4 linked regions of the Saccharomyces cerevisiae S288C genome follow. The protein of the gene in region 3 binds, or shares a complex with, the protein of the main gene of each other region. Each region holds a gene or a part of one and is shown on either strand. Other genes may lie near its edges. The genes, in order: POP3, RPP1, POP5 and POP8.

What was found.
Region 1: POP5 (region 3) and POP3 share a complex: the UniProt entries of both Saccharomyces cerevisiae proteins name them as parts of the nuclear RNase P and RNase MRP complex.
Region 2: POP5 (region 3) and RPP1 share a complex: the UniProt entries of both Saccharomyces cerevisiae proteins name them as parts of the nuclear RNase P and RNase MRP complex.
Region 4: POP5 (region 3) and POP8 share a complex: the UniProt entries of both Saccharomyces cerevisiae proteins name them as parts of the nuclear RNase P and RNase MRP complex.

The regions. Positions count from the first base shown.
Region 1 is NC_001146.8:106,077-108,776, reverse strand, and holds POP3 (Pop3p), read right to left. Parts: upstream 1,091-2,700; coding exon 503-1,090; downstream 1-502. Other genes in the region: HCH1 (Hch1p), read right to left, coding at 1-310; WSC2 (Wsc2p), read left to right, coding at 2,082-2,700. UniProt on the Saccharomyces cerevisiae protein: Required for processing of 5.8S rRNA (short form) at site A3 and for 5'- and 3'-processing of pre-tRNA.
Region 2 is NC_001140.6:222,297-225,543, forward strand, and holds RPP1 (RNA-binding RNA processing protein RPP1), read right to left. Parts: upstream 1,463-3,247; coding exon 581-1,462; downstream 1-580. Other genes in the region: GIC1 (Gic1p), read right to left, coding at 1-182; 2-dehydropantoate 2-reductase PAN5, read right to left, coding at 1,734-2,873; ribosome-associated complex protein SSZ1, read right to left, coding at 3,229-3,247. UniProt on the Saccharomyces cerevisiae protein: Component of ribonuclease P, a protein complex that generates mature tRNA molecules by cleaving their 5'-ends. Also a component of RNase MRP, which cleaves pre-rRNA sequences.
Region 3 is NC_001133.9:81,171-83,807, reverse strand, and holds POP5 (RNA-binding protein POP5), read right to left. Parts: upstream 1,103-2,637; coding exon 581-1,102; downstream 1-580. Other genes in the region: mRNA splicing protein PRP45, read left to right, coding at 1-473; FUN19 (Fun19p), read left to right, coding at 1,857-2,637. UniProt on the Saccharomyces cerevisiae protein: Component of ribonuclease P, a protein complex that generates mature tRNA molecules by cleaving their 5'-ends. Also a component of RNase MRP, which cleaves pre-rRNA sequences.
Region 4 is NC_001134.8:185,446-188,261, forward strand, and holds POP8 (ribonuclease P), read right to left. Parts: upstream 1,030-2,816; coding exon 983-1,029; intron 908-982; coding exon 553-907; downstream 1-552. Other genes in the region: DNA-(apurinic or apyrimidinic site) lyase APN2, read left to right, coding at 1-470; PEP1 (type I sorting receptor), read right to left, coding at 1,399-2,816. UniProt on the Saccharomyces cerevisiae protein: Component of ribonuclease P, a protein complex that generates mature tRNA molecules by cleaving their 5'-ends. Also a component of RNase MRP, which cleaves pre-rRNA sequences.

The sequences.
Region 1 (2,700 bases), on a different chromosome or scaffold from region 3:
TAAACTCTGGAATTTCTAGTTTCCCGTCCGCAAGTATGCCGTCATCATCCTCGTCGTCCTTATTAGTATCCAAATTTGTCACTTTGACGTTCATCGACAACTGTAAGTCAAAGTAGCAAATCGGCTTGCCCTTCCTTTGAGATACGTTGGAGTCACCGGTGATGCTACTCACCTGGGTTAACTCAATTTTGCTCTTCCCATCAGAGGAAACAGTGGACAAACTCGTTAATTTACCGTTCAAGTAGTCCTTAGACCAAGGTAAGGTGTTTTTATCCACCCAATGCCAGTTATTTGGATTCAAGACAACCATATTTTATCGTAAATGTGTTGTAACTTTCCGATCGTTTCAAACTTTAGTAGTAGTTTGATGATTTTGTCCAAAAAGTATTTGCTTAAATTTCAGCTTTTTTCTTCTTCATATGTATTTCTTTTTTTCCTCGCTTTCTCTGCCCACTTTTTTCTTCTGTCTTCTAGAAAAATAGGCCTGCGCGGGTAATTTTGTCTACTTTTGCCTCTTCTTCGAGACAATTGGCACTGTAGTTTTCAACAGCTTGACAGATGTGGGCCGATACTTGATAGCATTTAACCAGGGAAACTGAAGCAGATCAACGTTCTTCTGGATCTGCGATACGAATTTCTTGTCGACCCTATCGTCGCACCGCAGCAGCAGCATTCCATATTTAGAAACCGACTTGAAGGTATCCATGGCACTCTTGGGCAACTGCACCAGTTTAACCGTCATGGGCGCCATATAGCATAATAGCGGGATTTGCTGCAAGAGCACAAGCGGTACATCAGGGTCCTTATTGCACACAAATAGACATACTGGGTCGCTGTTTCCGTGAGCGCCGCTCAAATACTGCACAATTTCATTGAAATCTGTATACAGCTCCCAAGGGTAGTTCTCCTTCGATTGAATGTGAATCAACTTATTTATGATAGAGGATTGCAGCAGCTGCCAAATCAATGGCTGATCATGCACGCGCGGCCACATATGTGCTTCGTTTGTGAACGGATTGTCTAGCACGGGCTTATACACCTGCCTTCTTTTAGCTATTTTCTTGTCTAGAGATTTTAACGACCCGGACATGCTACTTACCGTCTTGATTTCCTCACCTTCCTTCTTGTTACAGTCCTCATCTCTATATCACTCATAATCTGAAAAATTTCACTTAAGCACGCAAATGCTATTTTTTACTTATTGCCCGCACGAGAAAATCAGAGAAAATTGAACTATGAGAACGGTATAGATCAGGGAATACATATCTGAGAACAACATCAAATATCCGCCCTGGCAATAGGATGTGCATAATTGCAGTTAAAGAGTGCATCGCATTTCCCCCGATTTTTGTTCTACTGAAAGTATGAACCCTGCTGTCGCGTTGGCCAGAACAGCCAGCTAGACCAATGCACCTTTATCACGTGACTATTACCGGGTAAAGTTACGGACATTTCGCGTTTTTTCCTGTTTTTTTTTTTTTTCGCGGTGCGGTGTTTTGTGGGAATGTGTTTGTTTACGGACTGTTTCGACATTAAGCAGAATGTTTCAACAGTGAGCCATTCTTGATTTGGTCATCTGGGCCCTATCTCCTTTTACTATGAATTTGCATATGTTTGTATGTTGTGATCTAGCACTTCTCCCAGAAGTGCATTTACAGCAGGTTTTTTGTTTCGTTTTATAACACTCTGTTTCGGTCTTTCTTTTTAAGATTGTCAGGGAAAAGAGTTCCAGCGACTGCTTTATACCTGTCCTCCGTCCTTCGAAGAAATAAAGAGGAGAAACCCTCAACGTAAAACATATAAGCAGTTTTCAAATCATCCACTCGCTTTTTCAATTCTTTACTATTGCTCAGCACGACCAACTATAGCTCAAAGCGTGGCTAGCCTTTGATTTACCATTATTGCTCTTTTTTTACTTTCATTTCTACCTTCGTTTTTCGCCAAAAGAAAACAAATCTAGTGAAAACAAACATTGCTGTTCGGTTATAGGACACGCTTTTTTGTATTTTTACAGACTTTCTGGTTTCTAATTGTTTCTTCTTTGAATTTCTTTTTGACCAACAGCATTATAGAAGTGGAATATGCACCTAGATCTCATACACAAGTCCTTCATCTTAGTGTGGCTCATATATATACGAGCCGCGTTGGCTGACCAATTCACATATAAAGCTTGCTATTCAGCTAGTGATATACGAAAATTGGGGTTGACTTACAAGGGTGTTTACGAGTATCAATCAGTTTCCTACTGTCAAAATGAATGCCCTGGTCAGGCTGTCGTTGCTCTTTTCAACGGTACAGGTTGCTACTGTGGTGGTTCCGTAGCTCAGTTACAGTCTTTGACGCAGGTAGATTCGAGCAAATGTGATGTTTCGTGTGCTGGCTGGCCCTACCAAAATTGTGGTGGTTCTTCTGCCATGAACGTTTATATCAATAACGCTGCTTCTACCGCGGACTCAACTTCATCTACTGCTACCTCAACATCGACAACATCTTCATCAAGCACAAGTGTTAGTTCAAAAACGTCCACGAAATTGGACACGAAAACTTCAACTAGTTCTTCTGCTACGCACTCATCCTCTTCCTCGTCTACAACCTCCACTACCACTTCCTCTTCAGAGACAACTACTTCCTCCTCTTCTTCATCCTCTTCCTCTTCTACGTCTACTACTTCTACTACTTCTACTACCTCTAGTACTACTT
Region 2 (3,247 bases), on a different chromosome or scaffold from region 3:
CTGTCAACGAGAACAATTCCTAAATCTTCGTCGGCGTCTTCATCGGAATCCGTACTAGGTCCATTCATGAATCGTTGCCTTACTTGGAATCCATACAATTTTTCCATTTCCTGATCCTCGTCAATCCAAATGGATTTCATTTGAGGAAGCTCCATCTGTTGCAGCCTCTTTCCTTCAGTCATCCTTTAGAATTTATCACACAATTAATAAGCGAGTATTCAGAGTGAATTATAAACAATAAACAATAGAAATAAGTCTTTCTTAAAAAAAAGTAGTGATAGTCCGTACGAAGATAATTAATTGCAGAATAGTTTTCAATGGTTTCAGCTCTCAGTAAATCCTACAGGTACAATGTAACAGAATATGCCTTGGATCCCCAAATTTTTTTGTCTATTCGTTGTTTTCCTTCTCTATGGAAATCGTCGAAAAATTTCTTTGTTTTTTTTTTCCTTTATTGTTGTTGTCTTTTCGCGAATTCGCGTCGCGATTCGTGGATTGTGATGATAATAGCGATGTCTACTACCCGGGTACGTATTTAATTATCATTTATACATTATATGTTATAGGTTAGCGTATCGTTTTAAGGCTTGTGTCTTTTGGAAGCATGGCCTAATTGTTCAGCATCCATACTCCTTTTCACTACCTTGATGGTCTGGACGTCGTCGATGCCTTGAACATCGTTGACCACGTCATCGCCGTTTCCGCTACCACCACCGGTAACAATGGTCTGTTTGTGGCTCTTATTCCTTAAGCGGCCATTTAGGAGGACGAGTGAAGCTAGGTCTCCCATGGCCTTCGAACACCTATCGCTCGGAAGACCTAAATTCTTGATTAGACTTGTTACTCCTAATATGTTGCGGCACTCAAGTGGTGACATGGCACCACTGCCGATAACAATGCCTCTGGACCTCGAACTCCTGATGACGCTTCTTACATTGGATACGAACTGCCTCCGAGCTTGTACGTCACGCAAAGCATAGCCATAAACAATTTCAAGTTTTACTCCTCTGTTCACACAGCTGCATATGCTTTTATGCTTAAGGAAAGTAGGCAGGCGCGACCCGTACTGAAAGGTCAACAAGTCAATATCCAGATTGGTAGTTGATAAAGTAAGGCCCTTTTCACTGATTGGCAATGCTGCTACAATATCAAAGGCCTGGCTTATCTTGGAAAGAGACTGTCCCTTCGATGGATCGTCGATAATTAGCGTGATCCTGCTGTATAATTTTAGCCCTGTTCGATCCATCAATTCTCCAAACCTTCTCTTGATATCGATAGGATTTAACAGCTTAACATCGTTGGGGAATTTCTCGCTGTGGTTTACTGTAAAATTTATGGCGATGTGTGTATATCCCAACATATGCAATGTGGATAACGTTTTTATTAAATTGTTGACCGCCTGAGAAGTAACTTTGTCTGCATAGCTGTTCTGTGGCCACGGTACATTCAAATCTACCAGCATTCTCGGTTCTATAATGCTTTCACTTTTGTTTTTTGTGTCTGTTTAGGTTAAGTATTTTCTACTGGTAAAATGAAATTTTTTCATTTATGCGAGGTAAAATTCTGGGCATCGCACATACATTTTTCATGTTTTCTGGTAGTAGTAACAAAAGAGAGGCACTTGACAAATTAATCTGCCTTCAGACTGTTAAGGTTCGCTCGAATAAAGCATTAAGAGTGTATATATATCAGTATTTATAAATGTATATGTTCTGGCTGATATCCGCGCATTTTCAGTCCTTTCTCCAGTCACCATTGATACTTCTCGACCTGTTCAATGCTAATCTCATAGTGGCCAATTCTCCGATAGTTTTATTAACCTTGCAGCAGTTTGGGTCTAGATTTAAGTTATCAGCCAATTTGACGACATAGCCATTGATATACTCAATTTCAATGTCTCTTAAGAACAAAGTGTCTTGTCTCATTGAACTACTGTTCCTAGAATTGATGTCACAGCCAATTCTAGTGACTTCGGAGACCATGTTATCGGTTGTCAGTACTGCATTGACATCCATTTCTGGGTATTCTTCATTACCGCTGTATTTTTCGTGGTATTGAAACAATGGCCTATAAGCAACTCTCAATATTTGTAAACACTCGTCAATAATAGATGTGAAAACTGGACCGCAACTGGCCTTCATCTCACCATTGACACAATCTAGAATAGCCGTAACTGGATTCATGCATGCATTAACCAAAAATTTAAATAATTGACCAAAGAGCATTTCTTGATAAGTGGAATGTTCTATTCCAAATTCCTTGGCAAATTTTGGTTCTGTTAATAATTTTACTAATGAGTTATTGGCTGCATCGTCCTCGACTACGGATTTTTTTTGAATCATTTCTTCCTCAGTCCAAGGCAATTTGGCAATTTTCATACCAGCCCACCCAGCATGATTGAAAACTCCTGCTTTATCCTGATAAACGCCATGAGAAATGACACCCTGAAATAAATGTGGTCTGTTTTTTGAATCTGTAAAGATTTCTTCTCTCAATAGTTCTAAAACGCCCAGTCCATTCTGAATCAAAATTAAGTTTGTATTTTTATTAATATAAGGCAAATAAGGAGCTAGTGCTTCTTTGGTTTGGTAAGTCTTTGTAGTGACGACTAAGTTGTCAATAGGTTTTTTAGAGAAAGTTTCAGGGCATTCGCATTTCTCCACTGGATAAGAAAATATTGGCGAGCCTTCCAAATAAAGTTTGCGAATCGAAATGTTGTTCCCATTTGTCTTCTGAAATTGTGCAAGTCTTTCTTGTGATCTAAATAAGGGCACAACTAGGGCATTGGTAAATCTTAAAAGGTCAACTGCCAAAACGGTACCCATGGCACCCAACCCAAGAATATGAATAGTACTTCTGTGTGGTGCAGTCATATTGTACAGACTTTATCGTATACGTATATTATCGATTTCTCCTATCGATCGTAACATACAAAGGTGAGTATAAAGTATCTTGTTTTTTTAATATATTTGTATTAAGCTGAATGGCACGATAAGCCTTTCTCGAGAAACCGTTAGCGGCCGCCAATCTATAAAAAAAAGAAATCGGAAACATGAAATATGAATTTGAATAGAACGTGACTCAACAGAAAGTCACAAACCTAACCATAATAACCTTGCTATAGCATTTTTTGACTTAATTTTATATGTTCTTTTTTCAAGGGCTGTATAGTTCCATCATGTATGTATTTTTCTATATACGTATACATACCGTTTTTCTTAGAGCGCTCTATAATTCACCCTTTACA
Region 3 (2,637 bases):
TGGAATTGAAGCGGCTTGCTATGGAACAGGAAATGCTTGCTAAAGAATCTAAATTGAAAGAATTGAGCCAACGAGCCAGATACCACAACGGGACTCCGCAGACGGGAGCAATAGTTAAGCCCAAAAAGCAAACGAGCACAGTGGCCAGACTAAAAGAGCTGGCGTACTCTCAAGGAAGAGACGTATCCGAAAAGATAATTCTGGGCGCAGCAAAGCGTTCAGAACAACCGGATCTGCAGTACGATTCAAGATTTTTCACAAGAGGGGCAAATGCCTCCGCCAAAAGGCATGAAGACCAGGTTTATGACAACCCACTGTTCGTCCAACAAGATATTGAAAGCATATACAAGACCAACTACGAAAAGCTGGACGAAGCGGTCAATGTTAAGAGTGAAGGTGCCAGTGGTTCTCACGGCCCCATTCAGTTTACTAAAGCTGAATCCGATGATAAATCGGATAACTATGGCGCCTAGGCCCAGGATGAGCACTAGGAAAACAAAGCATTCTTGTGCTTGAGTTGTATTATAGATAAAAAAATAAAACTACTGCATATACGTGTACATCTATATATTAATATATTCTAATCGTCCTCGTTTTCGTTTTCGTTTTCCCTTCCAATTTTCTTGAAATCATTGATAATAAAGTCATTATCGCTGAGGTGTGATGATTGACTACACTTGATTATGTTCAGAATTTTAGAATTCCTTCTCATAGCAAACTGCTCTATTTTCTTGATGGTCCCACTTACCTTGACGGGGTTCACGATCAGTCCATCGACGTCGCCAATTTTCGACATCAACATCAATGCCATGATAACAAGGTCGCAATCCTCTCGATGGCATCGGATTATCCCCGTAGACGTCTTATTTGAAAAGTATTTCAACTGCAAGAGAGAGTTACATTTTGCAGACCCATAGTCGCCCAGATTCAACGACAGCGAGCGTCGTATCTCTTGGAGTATCGACTTTATGGACACATCCGCAGGCGATGCTCTGTGATGCGAAAGCAAGATGTCTGCTTTCGACACAGATTCCTCAACGTTGGTGTCTGTAGGTGGGAATATAATTTCAAAAAGGATATATCTACTTTTTAAACGTACCATTTATCGACTTGTTTCTTTGTTGCACTAACTATTGCTATCACATTAATCTGATAGTGAAAAGTAAAATATTTTTCAAGAGCGCTAAGCAAGAACAAAACAAAACAAAGTCAGGAGGCAATTAAAGACAACAAGATAGAAAAACCAGAGTGGTTGCTGTGGTAGTACGTTGGGGGCTCGTTTGTCGAGGTTTTTAAGCAGGTTTGAATGGAAGAAGAAAAAAACGAGCACTTACTGGAGTTACTTGGTAAGAAAAGAGTAAGAGGGTTTGGTGGGTGATATATATTTTCATGCCACCAACTGCGAAAAGACAAGGCATGCATCCATGGCTGGTGAAGTGTTTGTTTAGGATATGAACTTCAACCCAATTCAGTTCCCTCACAAACATCGTCTTTCTTCCTTCACCCACAGGTGCAGGCGCCGCCATGGGTGAGCCTGAGACAGGGTCAACACATTAGATCGATTCAAAGTTACGACAGTCATACAGATAATGAAACGACATATTTGAACTGGTAAACGAGCTTGCCATTGGCTCTGAGTATGCCCAATGCTTCTTTAGTGAATAATGTTCACTAAAACTGTTGGTACATCCGTGCACCTCCGCTAGATGAGGTGCAGGGGTCTATCAAGAACCCCCTTCTTCCTAAGAGAACCGCTTATAAAAGTAGCCACATGGTTCATAACATCCCCGTTATGGCTCATACACTGGGCATCGATAAACAGGATATTCGCGCATCGTAACATTTATAGGGGAAACATGGGATTATATTCTCCTGAATCTGAAAAGTCTCAATTAAATATGAATTACATTGGTAAGGATGATTCGCAGTCCATTTTCAGACGTCTGAATCAGAATTTGAAAGCAAGTAACAACAATAACGATAGTAATAAAAACGGTTTAAACATGAGTGATTATAGCAATAATTCACCCTATGGGCGCTCGTACGACGTAAGAATTAACCAGAACTCACAAAATAATGGCAATGGATGCTTTTCTGGCAGCATTGACTCCTTGGTTGATGAACATATAATACCATCGCCACCTTTGTCGCCCAAGCTGGAGTCGAAAATTAGCCACAATGGCTCACCCCGCATGGCCTCTTCAGTGCTAGTGGGATCTACGCCTAAAGGCGCTGTAGAGAATGTGCTGTTCGTGAAGCCTGTATGGCCCAATGGGTTATCAAGAAAAAGGTACCGCTACGCCACCTACGGGTTTCTGTCTCAATACAAAATTTTCAGCAATTTGGCCCAACCATATTCTAAGAACATTATCAACCGGTACAACAATCTGGCCTATAATGCTAGACATAAATATTCCAAATACAATGATGATATGACTCCTCCTCCTCTGCCTTCCTCTTCTTCTAGATTACCTTCCCCGTTAGCATCTCCGAATTTGAATAGACAAGCAAGATATAATATGAGGAAACAGGCTCTCTACAATAACAATCTAGGAAAGTTTGAATCCGACACTGAATGGATACCACGGAAACGCAAGGTATACTCACCACAAAGAAGAACGATGACTACCAGTCCAC
Region 4 (2,816 bases), on a different chromosome or scaffold from region 3:
ACGACAGAATTGAACCTGGTACGACACAAGTTCCCATACCAAAATTCGAAGCAAGGTACAAATATAATTTAAGAAACCATAATGTTTTAGAGATGTTTGCCAAAAAGGATACGAATAAAGAATCTAATAAACAAAAATATTGTGTATCAAAAGTCATGAATACCAAAAAAAACAGCAACATCAAAAACAAATCGCTCGACTCATTTTTCCAGAAGGTAAATGGAGAAAAAGATGACAGGATTAAAGAATCCTCTGAAATTCCACAGCAAGCTAAAAAAAGAATCTCCACGCCAAAGTTGAATTTCAAGGATGTCTTTGGAAAGCCTCCCCTGTGCAGGCATGGGGAGGAATCCATGCTGAAAACATCGAAAACTTCGGCCAATCCAGGTAGAAAGTTCTGGATTTGCAAGAGATCTCGGGGTGATTCAAATAATACAGAATCATCTTGTGGGTTTTTTCAGTGGGTTTAAATATGAAAACGTCAGCTGATATTTTGGGAGAATAAAACACTTTCTTCTATGCCCAAGTTTTTTTAAATAATAAACTGATATTCTATATACATTTACAGTCTTGTTCTTCTTCTTCCATTACTTTTTTCAGCCATAGGCGGTCATCGTCAGTAACCTCCAGAAGTCTCAAACTGGAAGATTCTTGTAGAATTGACACTGTTAATGGTGAACCGACGAGTTCATCAGTAGATATGTATGTACTGATGGACGAAGAAAATGTATCTTTATCCGCATGATTTACTCTGATGTAAGCCAGCTTATCGTCAACATGCAGGAATGAATATTCTACACCTTCACCAAAAATACCATAACTACGTTTCAATGCGTTATTTAACCATTGCCTCCATGTCATTTGATCAATAGCATGTGCATCGTCCACATCTTGATCGAATGAAGTACTATAAATATTAAAGTACGTTAGTAGTTTATTTCTCTTCGGTAGTTGAGACTCAAAAAGTCAAAAATATACATACATTGATAACTTGAAATATTGCCATTCTCTAAAAGTCTTTTTCCCCATCACAACTGGCCATTTATCAAACTATTTATCTGCCTTTTCTTATTCTGATTATCCTATAAAGCTGAACAGTAAAGCTTGTAAAATTACGCGATGACTTATGTATTGAAGTTATGACGTTCTCGATGATCTTCAGTCAAACAACCACTTTCCCGTAACATATGATATATCCCACCCGCTTCCTTGTACGCATTATTACGGTTCTGCTTTGAAGATGGAGATTCAGTACTTGCAGTTATTTGAATTGCACCAGTACTGATCATGCCAAGTTTCTTTGGCTTGTGAAAGAACTTGATATTCTGTCTAAAGGATCTGCTCGTTTTTGTTTATGAAAAGTATATGGAATTATCTACTCTATGTAAAGTAATCTCTCTACTGGTTTTCGTTAGATGGCGCTGTAGAATCAGGCCTGTCGATGTTTTCCTCATTTCCTTCTGGTAATGTATCTGGAACATCGGTGGTCGTAGGTTGATCTGTATATGATGTATGCTCTTCTTCAAGTGTTGGAACATCATCTTCTTCGATTTCAAAATTACTACCCTGATCCATGAAACTGGATAAGTCATTGGCGTCTTCATCGTGGCCAGCAAGCAGGTCATCTGCTTCATCCAAAAATTGATCATGGATCAGGGATGAGTAGCTTGGACCTGTTCTGTTTCCAAACCTTCCTCTAATTTTGGAGATAGCATGCGCTATATTAGTTTTTGTGTGCTGTAAAAGAGACCCGATATTTGAGAAAACGTAAAATCCTGATTTCACAATGTTATTGACAACTCTGTCAGTATTATTGTTTTCTATTAAACCATCGTCACCTAGCCTAATTTCTCCAAACCTTGCAAATCCCCCATTTCTTCTGATACCTCTGTCATATACAAACCATGCGGCAAAGAAAATTATTAAAAGAATTGAAATGAAAATAAATGCAAAGGGACCGGCACTTACTGAGTACTTTTCCTTGAATTCTTTTTCTTTTCCTGGGCAAGCATGTGGTGATGAGGGAGCATCCAATTTCAGGCCACCCTCACAGGTTGATAGAGGGATCTTTCTGTAGCCTGACGATTCAAAATATTCGATTAAATCTGGCTCTTTTTTACAAACGTCTGCAGCATTTGCTGGGCTTAGTCCTTTGACTAATTTACAAGTACCATCGTTAGCTTTGTAAAAGTTGTAATCACACTCGAAATCTTGTCTTGTACAAGAACAGTTTTTGATATTTCTTGAAAATTCAGAAAGTGGAATATTCCCAATAAAACAATTTTCATCGGTTTTACGTAAAAACTCGGTTTGGTGACCAAATAGGCAATTGCTTTTGGAACCCAGAGGAGAGTATTTATAATCTGCGCTTTCCTTACCAGTGATGTCGAAATCACATTGTCTTTCGAAGATGTTTCTAAAATCAATTGTGTACGTTCTAAATGAGCTGCCTCCAATATCTGCTGCCTCTCCAAACAGCAAAAATCTCAAAGCAGAATCCCTGGGAACAGTGGTTATATCCTTTACTAAAACCTTATCAGCGCAGAATTTATAATCTTTCCATGTTTTACCAAAATCGGTAGAATAGGAAATAGAATCAGTTTCTGAGTTTTCAGGAACTAAAACTAAAATCCCACCGTGGTCACCGTATTCCCATTGGTGAGGAGTCTTCTTAACTTCAGCCCACGTTTCGCCACCATCGGTGGTGAAGAAGGTGGAACATTCTTTATATGGTAAAAGGTTAGGACCAACGTTGCCAACGCCGAACATCATTCCTAATGCAGAACCGGAAGAATATGTATCTCTAATATCCTTAC